Canis lupus familiaris: one gene and its partner. The protein of the gene in region 2 interacts with the protein of the main gene of each other region in a pairwise test. Links are inferred from orthologs where the notes say so. Each region holds a gene or a part of one and is shown on either strand. Other genes may lie near its edges.

Region 1 (7,682 bases), on a different chromosome or scaffold from region 2:
CTACCCAGAAGCTCCAGAAGCTTCTCCCTGGAGCCTCCTCAGGATCTTTTTTCCACCCTATCAGCCAGGCTTTAAAAGGCCGTGAGCTTTTGATCCCACTGATGACCTCCTGATAATACATAAACCCAGGCACGTCACTTAAAAAGTATCAGTCTTACATCCATTCCCTTGTCCGCCATCGAGAGGTGATGGGATCTACAGCAAGGAAGCCTGCCTCATGTAGCAGGAGCTCAAGAGCGGTTTCCCTTCCCTGAGGCTGTTCTGATGCCTGTGAACCAAGAGGAGATGGGCCGCCCCTGGCTAAGAATAAAGACCTGATGACTTAAGGCTGCGCCCCTCTGCCTTTCTGCTCCAGCCAGGGCTGAGCTGGACCCCTGGCCAGCAGATAGACCCGCCTGTTCCCCAGGCCCAGCTCCAGAGCTCGGGGAGGGCACGTAGCACCAGGCTGGGTGACACGTCTGTCCATACCTCCTGGTCTCACTCTTGTGCCATTTGAGGGAGTGCTGAACGGTGCTCTGGCATGGGGCCCTCCTACCAGCCGTGCCCAGGACCCACCTATTGCCTGCCATGCGGAAGTGTCTACATGTTGTCATCGTTCCATGGGGGACTCCCAGCTTTGGGACAAATGACAGAAACACTTAATCAGCTTGAGCAAAACAAGGAGATTCTTGTCTTACCCAACTAAAATATGTAGAAGTAGATTTGGTGTCAGGCAGGGCTAGATCCAGATATTTAAGCAGTTTGATCAGGCTTTTCTGTTTGTCTCTTAACTCTGCCCTCCACAATAGACTCCTTTATTCTCTAGCATGTGCTCCCATGTGTTAGGAAAGGTGGGCCTCAGTTCCTCTCAGGTCGGCCCCTGCAGTACAGAGAGAAAGTTGTTGTTCTAATGGTCTTTGCAAAAGTCCACAGGCTACATCTCGTTAGCCAGATCTGGGTCACATGTTCCACTTAGCAAGACTAGGGTGGGGAGAGGTGGTTCCTCTAAAGAAAACAAGGCCAGTTCTAGAAGGTAGAACACAAGATGTCCATGAGACGCACCGAAGCCCCCAGTGAGCCTGTGGCACAGAGGGAACTCAGCCCACGGTGCCAGTCACACGTGGCTTGCTTGGGGGTGCTGTGTGGAGGCTTCGGAGTGAGGCTGAGTGAGGAATCCCTCAGGGAACCGAGCAGGGGTTTTTAACAGAGAAATGATGTGAGCAGACTTGCTTGTTTGTGGGGGGCCGGTTCTGGGAGAGAGCCGCCCAGTGCGTCAGTGCAGGGAGAGATGGAGGGGCTGAGGCTCTGGTGGGGCAGTAGCCTCTGGGGTTGGTTCACTCCAAGGCATTTCTTTTTCTTTAAGTAACTCTACCCCCAACCTGGGGAACCTCTGGGTTTGGAGAAAAATTACTGGGTTGGAAAGATGCCTTCGGGCCATCCGTTAACAGGTGATTCCTTGGGTGTCTAGGCTCTGGGCCACAGCTTGACCCCTGTGGCAGTGAGGTCAGGGGTTGGACAAGATGGTGTCTGTAGTTACTACTTCCAGCTCTGATTTTGTGGTTTGGGGCTACACGAGCAGCAGAGTCTGGAACCCATAGCGGAGGTGCTCCTGATGGGACAGCATGGGTCCTTTGCATGCCGGGCGCCCCAGCAAGGGTCCTGGGAGACCCACACACTCTCAGTGAGGCCGTTTGGTCACTCTGCCTCACTGCCTGCCTCCTCCAGCCCTGTCGGTAGGGGTGCCCACGAAGGACACACTTCAGCCCCTGCCCACCAGCTGCATGACCCGTCAGCACGCCAAGCATGCCTGCCCATGGCTAGGTCTTGCCTGACTTCCCTCCCTCTGCATGTTCCAAATGTTTGTACCAAGCTTGCAACTTTGGGGGTTTCCAGGCTGCACCTTGGCCTGGGAAGCTCAGAACAGTTTCTGGCCTGGGAAGCCCAAGGCCGGAGGTCGTGGCCAGGCACAGCCACCCTCTCCCTTGAGACCCTTGTTCATTGGCTCAGAAAGCCGTCTGTTCGGCGCACTCATCATGTTACTGCCATCGTCATGCCCATCCTGCCCGCGGACCACGTCCCTGGCCTGCCCTGATCCCTTGCCCCTGCCCACCCCCTTCTGAGGGGCAGCCCTTCCCCTGGAGTTCCCAGGTTGTGCCTTAAGCATGGCTGAGATCCTGGCAGGCGATTATGCCCCTGCCCTCATCTCTTCCCTCAGGTCACGGCCCAGAGGTGGAGGCCGTGACTCTAGAGAAGGTGGCCACGTCACTCCTGGACCAGCCCTGTGCCCTGCCCCAGATGCTCTGAGGTCCTCCACCCTACGGTGCCTGGACTTCACTCGTGCCCCAGTGAGCCCCTCTGGAGGCCCGTAGTGGGGGTCAGGAGCAAGTAGGGGCAGGCACCAGATGGCAACCTGGAATGTGGCCCTGAGGAGGCCCGCGGTATAGACCTGGGGCCTGGACCTTGCGCTGAATCCCTGTGTGACCCTGGGCAGACAGCACATTTCTAGGCCTCAGTTTCCTAGGCTGTAAAACGGGGGAGCTTGGTTGTGGAATCTCTTGTGTTCCATTCTCTTGAGTGTGGGGGCTACTTGTAGCCAAAAGTGGGGTGGGAGGTGGTAAGCCGGGGCCCTGGTACTGCCCCACCTGTCTCTCAGGTGGGTTTGGCTCTGACAAGAGGGGCTTCCTGGATGAGGGGCCCCTGCCCTTCAATCCTCCCGAGTATTTTGCCCGGCCTGTGAGTGCCTCTCTCCCTCCTCCTGCAGTGCGCCGTGTGGCTCCTCGTTTCTCCATCCCTCCCAGCAGCCAGGAGGTGATGCCGGGTGGCAGCGTGAACCTGACTTGTGTTGCGGTGGGGGCACCCATGCCCTACGTGAAGTGGATGATGGGGGCCGAGGAGCTCACCAAGGAGGATGAGATGCCAGTTGGCCGCAACGTGCTGGAGCTCAGCAATGTCGTGCGCTCTGCCAACTACACCTGCGTGGCCATCTCCTCTCTAGGCATGATCGAGGCCACGGCCCAGGTCACAGTGAAAGGTGAGTGCCACGTGCATGCCTGCTGTGGCCTAAGGCCTGCCTTGGTGCAGAGGGTGACGGGAGGTCCCAGCACCCGTAGCAGGTGAGCATGGCTGTTGTGGGGTTGGATGAGGTTGAGGGGTCGTTGCCCTCTCCCAGGTGCTTCCTGGGGTCCTGCCAGCCCTCGGTGGAGAGAGAGGTTTCTGTTATTCGTGATGTTAGTAATAATAGCTAACGGGTACTGAGCTCCTGGGGGCAGATGCTGTACTGGTTAGCACAGATTGTGCTGGTTAGCACAGAGACTGCTCTGTTACGCTGGGAGGTAGACGTTCTCATTCTCTTCTTACAAATGAGAGAACTGAGGTGCAAGGTCATGCAGGAGTCAGTGACAGGACGGGGACTTGAACCCGCGGGGTCTGATGCCGCAGAAAGGCCCCCGAGCCACGTCCTGGTGCCAGACCCTCAGCTTCATCAGCCTCATGTCAAGGCTGCAGTGAAAGAGTGGCCACAGAGAGTGGGCTCTCCACCAGGGCCCCAGGATGGGCACGCACACTCCTCCAGGCTCCGTGCTTCCATCCTCCTTCCTCAGACCCATCCTCCATTCTGCAACTAGAATGATCTTTTGAAGATACAAAGCAAGATCTCCCCACTGTTTTAAGAAACTGCCTTCCAGTGACTTCCCATTGCTTTCAGGGCAAAGAGCAGGATCCTCACTCCCCTTGCCTGGCCCTCCTGGCTCTGCTGGGTTCCTTCCGGCCCTCACCCAGCCCTCGCCGTGCTGGTCCTCTCACTGTCTGGGCCTCAGCTCTCTGAGGCCTTCGTGGATTTTCCCCAGCTCAGCCTCCCGCTCTCTGCTGTCCTCGCATGCGCCAGAGTCATCGTTACGGACTCGGTGCTTTCCACTCACCCTAGAATGTAAAGTCCACCAGAGCAGAGATGTGACCAACAGTGTGACCTTGTGTCCTCAGCCCAGCACCGCGCCTAGCACTTAGTAGGCACTTGATAATTGTGTAATGTTTGGCCTGGGATCTGGGACTGCTCCACCTTCAATTTGAGCCAAGCCACAGGTGTGTAGGGCCAGCAGCCCCGTCCAGGCTGTCTTAGGCACATCTCTCCCCGACACCAACCCCAGTTACACGTGAGGAAGCGCAGGCAAGCCCCAAAGGCAGACCTCTGCCTCCCAGCCGGCGCGCTTTCCATCTGCAGGGACCCGGCCAGGCCACGCCACCTCTGGGGCTGTTGTTAAGTGAGGAGCCAGTGAGTTCTGGAAGTGATGTGGGTAGACCCTAGATGACCGAAGGCCCCTGAGGGCTCTGACAGGTGTCGCCATCCCCCGCTAGGTGCCCTTTGAGGTCACCTCGAGCTCCCCAGGCCATTTTTCAAGGAGGCCCGTGAGGGCCAGCTGTACCATGGGTAGTTAACACCCGGAGCAGGATTGGCCTCTGGGGTCCTGACCTCGGGCAGCTCTGAGCCTCCCGCTTTGTCTCCCAGCTCTGCCGAAACCTCCAATCGACCTCCTGGTGACTGAGACAACTGCCACCAGCGTCACCCTGACCTGGGACTCTGGGAACTCAGAGCCTGTGTCCTACTACGGCATCCAGTACCGCGCGGCGGGGACGGAGGGCCCCTTCCAGGAGGTGGACGGTGTGGCCACCACCCGCTACAGCATTGGCGGCCTCAGCCCCTTCTCCGAGTACGCCTTCCGCGTGCTGGCGGTGAACAGCATCGGCCGGGGACCACCCAGCGAGGCGGTGCGGGCACGCACGGGAGAGCAGGCGCCCTCCAGCCCCCCGCGCCGCGTGCAGGCACGCATGCTGAGCGCGAGCACCATGCTGGTGCAGTGGGAGCCGCCCGAGGAGCCCAACGGCCTGGTGCGAGGGTACCGCGTCTACTACACTCCCGACGCCCGCCGCCCCCTGAGCGCCTGGCACAAGCACAACACGGACGCGGGCCTCCTCACCACCGTGGGCAGCCTGCTGCCCGGAATCACCTACAGCCTGCGCGTGCTGGCCTTCACCGCCGTGGGCGACGGCCCTCCCAGCCCCACCATCCAGGTCAAGACACAGCAGGGAGGTGGGTGCGGGCAGCACGCCGGCCTGGCCACTGCGGCGGGGCCTTGGGGGCTGGGGGAGGCTGAGGGCCTGTACCCCGCCGTGCACGGTCACCTGGGATGCGGGACAGGGTCCCGGGGCTGTCTTCCCATGCCTCCTTTCTCCGGGTGCCACCGGCCCTCGTGGGGAACTGGCAAGGCTCACGGCGCCTGGCGTGGGGGTGTGGGGGTGTTGCAGTGCCTGCGCAACCGGCGGACTTCCAGGCTGAAGCAGAGTCGGACACCAGGATCCAGCTCTCGTGGCTGCTTCCCCCGCAGGAGCGGATCATCAAGTACGAGCTGGTGTATTGGGCAGCAGAGGATGAAGGCCAGCAGGTGGGTGCTCAGCGGGGACAAGAGCAGGGAGGAGGGCTCCCCTGGATCCCGTAGGCTCTGTGCGGGGCTCCCCCGGGCAGACTTTCTGGATCCTGTGGTTGTACGGACATGGCCCCCAGGGGTGGCCCTGGGGCTCACGTGGCCAGCGTGGTTCTATAGTCTTTGTCCCCACTGCTGGGCGACAGTCCCTCGGTCTGCCCTTGGGTCTCTCCGGCTCTGCGGCTTACCTGGCACTCACAGAGCTGTTGTCTCAGATGCTCATGGCCACGGAGTCTGTGCAGTGGCCGTGTGATGTGGAGGCGGCCCTAGGCCACAGTGGGTCCACAGGGGCCAGCCGCAGCCCAGGTTGGGGAGCAGCCTGTGAGGTCAGAGCAGTCAGTGAGTGCTCCCTGCTCTTCCAGCACAAGGTGACCTTCGACCCCACCTCCTCCTACACCCTGGAGGACCTGAAGCCTGACACACTGTACCACTTCCAGCTGGCCGCCCGTTCCGAGATGGGGGTGGGCGTGTTCACCCCCACCGTTGAGGCCCGCACAGCACAGTCCAGTAAGTGTCTTCTGAGGCTACGCCTCCTGTAGCTGGGCCGGGGCAGAGACACACACGCCCTTCTCCCTCAACCGGGGGGGTGGTCAGGTCTGCTGGGCCCCGGATGGGCTCTTGTCTGGGCTCCGGGTCTGGACTCACAGGGGCAGGTAAGTTCCCACTAGTCTGTGTCCAGGCAGTTGCTGCCCATGCCGTTCCCCACCTGACTTCTGTCCCTCCCTCCCCCAGCCCCCCACCAGGTAAGTTCTGTGTCTGTGACTCATCCCCCTCCCCCGCCCCCACCCGTCTGCGCTGGTCACACTAGCTGACTGGGCCATGCTCAGCGCTGGGACAGCCACGCTTGCCATGTCTCAGACATGTCCCCGCTCTGGCAGCTGTCCTCCTGCTCCATATCCCCACATCTCATCTCCCCTGTCACCTGCATTCCCTGCCTCATGCCCCGCACCACGGGAGGAACATGGGAGCTGTGTCATCACACTGAGCCTACGGCACGTAGGGACACGTCTGTGAGAACGAACCCGGGTGGCAGACTGTCCACGTGCCTGCCTTAGGACCACGCGGCCTTCCGCGTGTGGGGCTGCCTGCTGTGTGGTTATCGTATTCCTGTGTACGTGAGACTAGTGCTGTGGACCTGCGTGTGACCCTGTGTGGCCACCTGGCAGGGCCGCACCCGTATGAGTGTCTGGTGTGCCCCGGGATTGGGTGGCTGTGAGGCTCTGTGTGCTAACAGGGGCCATGGATATGTGGCTGGACAGGATCATGACATTGAGGCAGTTACAGCACGTGTGACAGCCTTAATCACGGCAGTGTCTGTGAGGCGGTCCATGTGCCCCCAGACTGTGTAGATGCGACCCCATGTTCACGGATCTGACTTACAGGCACCTGCTGCGCTCCCACTGTGCCCATGCACGGAGCAGGGCTGGCAGCATGACCCCGACGTGGCCCGTACCTGCAGGGAATCCTAGTCTAGTGGGGCAGATAGATGTTCAACCTGCAATTATCCAAATGAGCTTTTAATTACATTTGTCTGAAGTGCTGCGGAGGAGACAAACAGTGGAGAGGTGCTGGGATTGGAGCTTCATCTGGTCTGAGGGGGCCAGGGGGGCTTCCTTGGGTGATGTAGGCCTCACGCAGAGGGGCAGCAGGTGCAAAGACCCTGAAGCGGGAAGGCACTTAGTTGTGGTTTGGGATAAGCAGCAGGCCATGGCAGCTGGCCACGGGTTAAGAGGACAAGACAGGTAGGAGGGCTGACCCAGCTGCTGGGCAAGCATGCATGGGACAGCCCAGCGGGATGCCGGACACCAGTTGGGAGGCTGTGCAAGAGTCTAAGCAAAAGACGGCAGCTCAGATGTGGTGATGGTGGTGGATCAGATAGCCGTCTGGGGTGCCAGCTGCCTGGGACTCGGTGACGGCTTGGCTTTTGGATGCTGAGGGAAAGGAGAGCATCAGGCGAAGTCTGTGCTTCTGGTGTGCAGACCTGGGAAGAGGGGAGGAAGTAGGGCCAAAGCAGGCACCTCAGCCCGGGGCCTTGTGCCAGCCGTGCAGGTGGCGATGCTGAGCTAGGGGTGAGGGACTCTGAGGACAAAGACCAGAGGTAGTGGGAAATCCCAGAGAGGGGAGTGTCTCGGAGGCTGGAAGAAGAGAGCAGAAGGAACAGAGCCGATGCTGCTGCTGAGCAGTCAGGGCCAGAGGAACGCAGGAGGCAGGAGCGTCTGCTGGATGGAG
Region 2 (7,682 bases):
CCAGTGGGCAGATGACCTCTAGGGCACGTGCACACTGCCGCCCTGGCTCTTTTTTGTCTGATGGAGACCGTCCTATTGGAACTCACTCTCCCAGCAAAGCCTGGAGCAAGGAAGTTACCAAACACCGAGTTTCTAGGAAAGAGAAAGCGAGGGGGACCCGGCTTCAGAAGCCATAAGGACACACCAGGGACACACCGGGTATGACTTCAGCTCTTCTGAAATACCTTCTTCCCCTTAAAGAGAGGCGCTGGCACCGTAGCTGGGCATGTTGTCAATTAAACACAAACCCCTCCCTTACAATCCCAAGGACTTTTCTGTTGTTGCATTTTAAAAACAGAAAAACTTGAATATATTCTCCAGTGTATTAGACACGGTAGGGGAAGATCTTATATTTATGCAAACTAATAAATTATTAAATTTGCTTTAGTAGAGATCTAAAAATAGCCACCCTGTAAAAATATATCCAGATGATCGCCAGTTACTTTCAAAAACAGCTTTTGTCAACTGTGAAAGATTTAAGACAGAAATACAAAACAAATGAAACAGATTTATGTATCTCATTTCCCACGTCCTTTTCTAGAAAAAAAAAAAGAAGAGATGTACAGACACGGGTGCACACACACATAAAATATTTAGAGATTGTTACCATATTTATATGTTAAATGTATTATTTTATATGTGTATAGAATACATATCACAAATGTTTGCTTATGGTTTTTCTTGTGATTCACACTAACTCAATCATGATTAGACTATCCTTCAAGTGGGCCGTCTCCCCAACCATATTTTTATCTTTAACTTCTGGCCTCGTAAGGATAAGGTATGAAAATAGCACATACAGGACCATGGTAGTAAGGATTCCATAAATTAACCTATATGCTTAGAGTTGGTCAATAGGCCTCGTTTGCTATAACCATTCTTAGTGATTTCTTTATACTGAAAATTGGGGGAGACTGTACTTTGAGCTTAATTGTTAATGTCTTATTTCAAAGCAAACTACTACACCCGCTCACTCAGATGTGCCCTGGGTGGGTAGCTCCCAACAGAGAGAAGCATCTGCCATCTCCTGGCTGAGCACCCTCATCCCTTTACCTAAAATGCCTCTGCTGGCACCCCCACCCCAATAAGAGGCTCCCATCACCTTCAGGGCCCAGCTGCCACGTTAACCCTGTGCCATTCCCTCAGCCATGGGAGCAGAGCCACACTCTTTTACTGTGGGCTCAGGGCCTTGGATAGAGAGCAGTATTTTTCATGCTGATGCCAAGAATGCAGGGGCCTGTTCAGCTCTGCTCTGTTGCTATCTAGTGGCGTGTGGCAGCAATTCTCAACAAAAGAGGACATGTATCCTTACAACAGGAAGTGTCTGAGGTCACAGGAAAATGCTCACCCTGAGACCCAGACCCTACAGACTGCCACAAGCACAGACAACCAGGCACAGGGTCTCCAGTCACAGAAGAGGGTCTGAGAGGCACCCAATCCCTCTCTCCTCTGTAATGATGCCAGACTGGTTTTCTCCACTAAAGCCTTTCCTCATTATTTTATCGTGTTTGTTTAATTTTAATTTTTTAAAATTTTATTTTGAAGTCATCTCTACACCCAACACGGGGCTCAAATCCACAACCCCAAGATCATGAGTCACGTGCTCCATGGATAGAGCCAGGTGGGCACCCCTTGTGATTTTTAAATTTATTTTAAATTTATTTAGCTTCTTTTTTTTTCCTCTTGATTTTTAACTTTTTCTTAAATTTTTATTAAAGATTTTATTTATTTATTCATGAGAGAAACAGAGAGAAAGAGAGACAGAGACAGAGACACAGGCAGAGGGAGAAGCAGGCTCCCTGCAGGGAGCCCGATGTGGGACTTGATCCCAGGATCCCGGGATCACACCCTGAGCCAAAGGCAGACGCTCAACCGCTGAGCCACCCAGGCGTCCCTCCTCCTGATTTTTTTAAAAGGAGGCAGTCACTGAGCTGTCAGCATCATGGGAAGCAGAAACATAGTGCATCCATGGCACATAATGTACTTGCCTTTGATTTCATTCTGGCTTTCTTCTCTCTTTCTCTCCAGTTCTTTTCGGTCATAATTTAATCTCCGTAGGCACATAATTCCACACTGGAAACTGTTTCTATTAATAAAACCAACAAACCAAAAAAAAAAAAAAAAAAAAAACCCAGTTAGCCATGGCAGCGGTGTGAGCCCCTGGAGTGAACCAACAAGGGGCACCATGCAGGGCGTACCTGTGGAAACTGTCGACCATCTTCAGCTGGCCCCGCAGATCCTTTTTGGTCAGGTGGTCCAGCATGCGTGCGTCTACCAGGCACTCCATGAAGTAGCTGCGGTACTGCGCCAGGCCCAGGCTGGGCAGCCACTCATTGCCAATCCACTCATGGTTCATGTCCCCATAGGCAAGGGTCTGGTTGCAATAATTAAGCACATCAGTTCAGAAGAAAAGTCATGGAAGAGGTCACAAGGGTCATTTAAATTATCTTTAAACTAGATTTTCAATCTGTTCCATATTCTCAAAGGCTAAATTAATAACATCATTTTTTATAATTTCAAAATAATTTGATCTCCCATTTACTCTTATATTGTCAGTAAAATTTTGCACAAAAGGAATTATACCATTACAAATTTACGACTCATTTGTGCTTATGAATTTAACGTATTTACCAAACAAAGCACAGTAAAACTGACTGGTTATGCACTGTCTTTCTGAGCTAGTTTTCATGTATAATGATCAACAAAGAACAATCACGGCTCATGAACAAGTTTGAAGAATCATCCAAGTCTACTCATTAAAAATACCTCTGGCTGGCTTTCATTTTATTTTTAACACTTTGTTTTCTATATTTCATTAATAAAACATCTGTTAATTTCAAAATCAGATTTTAAAAAAGTGAGTTAAAACACAGATTTAAAAGAAGAGATGAACATGGTAAGATGGAGAGGACACAGGAGACATCCCTCCCCACCACCATCCATAGTTTGGTAACTGACTGAGCAACTGGGCCAAACAACAGGCTTGCACAGATGGAGAAGCACTGAAGCCGCAGTGTCAACCAACCCGACCCAACTGATACGAGACAGCACTCCACCCAAAAGGAGTGCACACAGAACATTCTCCAACACAGACAAATCTCCATGTATTTAAAGAGACTGAAATCATACCAAGTATATCTCCTCTAACCTTAAGAGAAATTAAATTAGAAACTCATAATAAAAAGACATTCAGAAAACTCCCAAGTATTTGGAATTAGCACACTTCCAAATAACCTATGTGTCAAAAAAAAGGAATCACAAGGGAAATGGGAAAACATTTGGAACTGAATGAAAGTGAATATGCAAGCGACACCTGGCTGGCTCAGTCAGTGGAGTGTGTGACTTGATCACGGGGTTGAGTTTGAGCCCCACACTAGTGCAGAGATTACTTATAAATAAAACCTTAAAAAAAAAAGTAAGTGCACAAACAATACATTCATAAAATTGTGAGACACAGCTGGAGCAGTGTCCTGAGGGCAGTTTACAGTATTAAGTGCTTATGTTATAAATGAGGAAAGATTGTAAGTCAATAATCTAAGATTTTACCTTTAAAAACTTGAAAAAAAATGAAATTCACAGCAAGTAGAAGGAAGGAAATAAAAGAGCAGAAATCTGTGAAACAGAAACCAGAAAAATGGTAGAAAATAAAACGATGAAAGTAAAACCTGGATTTTCATAAACATCACTAAACTCGACAGACCCCTACCCAGAGTGATCAAGAAGAAAGATACAAAACACCAACATCAAGAATGAAAGAGGGGGCATTGGCACAGACCCTACAGACACTGAAAGGGTAATATGGGAAAACTGTGGACAGCTATAAGCAACCTGGATAAAATGGGTAAATTTCATGATAGACATAATGTATGAGAACCACTCAGATTACCCATACCTGAACTTGAATTTGTAGCTGTAAACCACACACACACACACACACACACACACACACACACACACACAGAGGTGCAAACTCTACACTGCATGCCTTCACTGTTGAACTCTACCAAACGTTTATTTAAAAAGTACCAATTCTATGCAAACTATTACAAAAAAAATGAAGCAGAAGAAATATCTTACTCATTCTCCAAGAGCATCATTATCCTGATAAGAAAACTGGACATATTACAAGAAAACTACAGACCAATGAGCAGCTCTCATAGACACAGATGCAAATTTTCCTTAACAAAATATTAGCAAATCAAATCAGTAATAAATTAAGAGTAAGATATCATGACAAGTGGGGTTTACTCCAGGAACATAAGTTGGGTCAATATTTGAAAATCAGAGAAATTCCCTGTATCAAAGGACTAAAAAAGAAAAATGACAGACATGTGAAAAAGGTGTGTGATCAAATCATCACTCATTCATGGAAATCTGGGCAATCTAGACACAGAAGACAACTGCCTCAGCCTGATAAAGGGTCTACAAAAAAATGTAGCGCTGATGGCACACTTTGTGGTGAAAGACTGAATGCATTTTTCCTAAACTCAGGAACAAAGAAAATGAAGGATGTCTGCTCCCACCACTTTCATTCAACCCTGACTGGAATCCCCAGCCATTGTAACAAGGCAAGAAAAAGAAGTCAAATCCGTATGGGTTGGAAAAGAAGTAAAACTCTCTTTGTTTGCAGATGACCTGATCATCATTATTAGAAAATGGGATATAGAGCAGCTGTCCGGACTCAAGTGAGTTTAACCTGGTAGCAGGATACAAGGTCTATATACAAACAAAAGTGAACTGTATTTCTAAATACTTTTAGAAATGAGCCTGAAATGGAGATTTAAAAAAATACCATTTGTAATATCATCAAAAACCATGAAATCCTTGGGGATAAATCTGACAGAATATGTGCAAGATTTCTGCGATGAGAAGTAAATGAATAGCATCAAACAAAGGTACTGGATGTTCTTCAGTCCAAGAAGCCTAAGCTATAGTCACAGGAATTCTGTAGTTGCCTTGCGGAATCCTTGGAAACAGTAACTCTCAGCTAGCCACAAGGTGAGGGTTGAAAACACAGCCTCTGATCTACTATTTACACCAAACAAGCTAAAAGAAATGAGTCAAAATTTCAACAAGAATGCTCAAATTCAATAGAAAAAGAAACTGTTTCACTACTTTCTCTAAATAACCATGAGTGAGAAAAGCAGCAAACATTTTTGGAAAATTGTCACAGGGTCATGTTTTTTCACTCTTTCAAACCTCACTCTCAATATCATAGACCTGACAGACACTTAAGTGTGTGAATATGTCACTGCTTTCTTCCCTCTGTTTATGTATCCTTGAACATAAAATGCAAAGAAATTTCTCAACAGACAATTCCATGGGAGCAGAGCTCTCCTTAATGTTGTTTATTCATTACATACTCTAGTCCCACTTCTTAAGTGATCTGTAATGTGAGCTCCAGGGGAACCAGGCTCAAAGCCAGGGAGATCCACACCTCCTGGACTATGGTCACAGCCTTCTGAAGGGAGGACACAACAGGGATATCTCATGGTCAGAGAACACCTGGACTGCAAGAGACTGCCACTGCATGGGCTCTATTTTTTCCAGCAATGAAATGAGAACACAAATACAATTCAGCTTTGTAACCTCTGTGAAATGTGAGGGATGATGGTAGGTGGCACCAACAGGCAGCTCCGTTTTGCAAAGAACACACTGATGCTACCTGCTAAGTGAAGGCATCCATGAATTGACCACACCTTGATGTTTTCCTCCCCTGAGTGCCCAAGGGCATCTCAAACTCTCCCTTGGCTTAAGAGCTGGTCACTATGTAACAGCACATGGAAGGTGCACTGTAGGACTTCCACCCTTGGCAGCAGGTTAGCAGCTGCACAGAGACCATGATGCCTCTTCATTCTCCTCTCCTCTAGAAGAGGGATGGAGTGGAAACCATCAATGCAAGCTAATTCTGACGTCATTGGCACAGCTCGTCCTTGTTTATGTTTCCACTGCAAAGAGCAAACATTCAGCTTGTTTAGTTTACAAGTCTCGCCCCAATATAAGGAGTTTCATATGGAGGTGCTGCCAAAGTTCTCCTTCTTAGCGTCCAACACACTGATGTTTAAGCAATTACAAAATGCACCCTTTTTGATTCACTGATGGTTAGGCCCTGATTCTGAGCAGGCGAAATGATCAATGAGGATATGTATCTGGAGTAGTGGCACAGAGTGCTGAAATCAAAGGGGTTGAGAGGGTGCTCACAGAATGTTACAGCCACTCTCCTCTTCTGCTTTTTAAAAAAGTGATAATATTGGCTATAATTTAGGAGTACAGATAGAGGAGAAGAGCTGTTTCCACCACTGACCAGAAATGAGGAACATCAGATTTAAGATTAGTTTGATTTTTTTCAGATATACCATATCCTTTTGAGATCCTTGAACATGATGCCATTAGTAACAGCCTCAGGACGAACCGCCTGGCCGCGCCCTCACAGCCTCCGACTTGGCACTAAAACAGAATAGCAAGTCAGGCAGCAAGGTTGCTAGAATCACAAGTAGGAAACCACTCCTTTTAATCAAGCTGTCTCAAATCACGGCTGCAAAACAGTCATGACAGAGCTTTTGGTGAGTTGAAGAACCCGGAAGCTGAAAATTTGAATGTACGTTTTTAAGGAGAGAGGCTTGATTCCTGAGAATCCCATGAGTGAGAAAACGTCTCGATCAACACAGCACCAGGGCAGCACTTAGTCACACCCTGATACGCAGACAGGGAGGGAAAGCCCCTGTGCCAACTATTGTGCTGGGTCCTTATCCTGAGAGCTGCCAAAGCCATGGCACTCTGCAGGACAGTCGTGTGCTAAAGAAGTAATCTATGTTAAACAGAATAAACCGCCATGGTGCCACGTGAGAAAGGTTCAAAATTGTCCATGAGACGTACTCTTTAATCCTATGCTTCGCTCTGACTAATGCTTTAAATCATCAACAATATTCTGCACAAATTAAGATGTTAAAAATGTCAAGAAAAGTCAATTACAAGCTTTCATACTCCAGCTCTTTTGCTGCGGTACATATAGTGAAGAGTATATTATAGAGAGTCTCCAACCTGAGCCCAGCTTCCCTCCTCATCCTCCTGGTGTTACGAGGTTAGGAATGCAAAAGAACATAACTATTAGTATTGGTGAGCTGAGTGATGCAAGCAAATTAATGTTGTAGGGAAGGTGCAGTGACTGAGTGAAAGAGTAAAAATAAATAAATCAAAGAATGCATCATGCAAAACTCATGCAAAACCAACAATTCCAATTTCTCATGCAAAGAGCCAATTTCCCATGGCAAGCATGTCCATATAAGGAGAAAACTAAGGCCAGAACATGAAAACCAAGCACCAAACTGAGGTCTCTCCAGAAGGAGATAGGAGTTAAATCTATTCTAAGTAGAGCGAGTCTACCAATTTTAAGGTCCCAAAGAAAAATCTAAAATAGAATTCCATTTCACACATTTAACTAATACCTAATGGAAATACTTATCGGAACAATTTAATGTGAAATGACATTTTTGTTTCCCAAGGAAAAGCCAAGAATCGTGCCGCTCTTGGGTGGGGAGCACGGGGGAAGGTGAGCCCGGGGCTGTGACTGACCGTTTGTGGCGTGGCCGTGAGTGTTTCCATCTCTTCATGCGTTAACCAGACATTTCCTGTGGTCTAGGGTG

Evidence for each region.
Region 1: the proteins of PPFIA1 (region 2) and PTPRF interact in a two-hybrid assay, tested with the Homo sapiens proteins (2 studies listed by BioGRID). The link is inferred for Canis lupus familiaris from reciprocal best matches to the Homo sapiens genes PPFIA1 and PTPRF.

The regions. Positions count from the first base shown.
Region 1 is NC_049236.1:16,716,778-16,724,459, reverse strand, and holds part of PTPRF (receptor-type tyrosine-protein phosphatase F), read left to right. Parts: intron 1-2,740; coding exon 2,741-3,010; intron 3,011-4,480; coding exon 4,481-5,062; intron 5,063-5,277; coding exon 5,278-5,414; intron 5,415-5,815; coding exon 5,816-5,960; intron 5,961-7,682. UniProt on the Homo sapiens protein: Possible cell adhesion receptor. It possesses an intrinsic protein tyrosine phosphatase activity (PTPase) and dephosphorylates EPHA2 regulating its activity.
Region 2 is NC_049239.1:48,437,688-48,445,369, forward strand, and holds part of PPFIA1 (liprin-alpha-1), read right to left. Parts: intron 7,675-7,682; coding exon 7,612-7,674; intron 7,108-7,611; coding exon 7,081-7,107; intron 2,414-7,080; coding exon 2,238-2,413; intron 2,126-2,237; coding exon 2,028-2,125; intron 1-2,027. UniProt on the Homo sapiens protein: May regulate the disassembly of focal adhesions. May localize receptor-like tyrosine phosphatases type 2A at specific sites on the plasma membrane, possibly regulating their interaction with the extracellular environment and their association with substrates.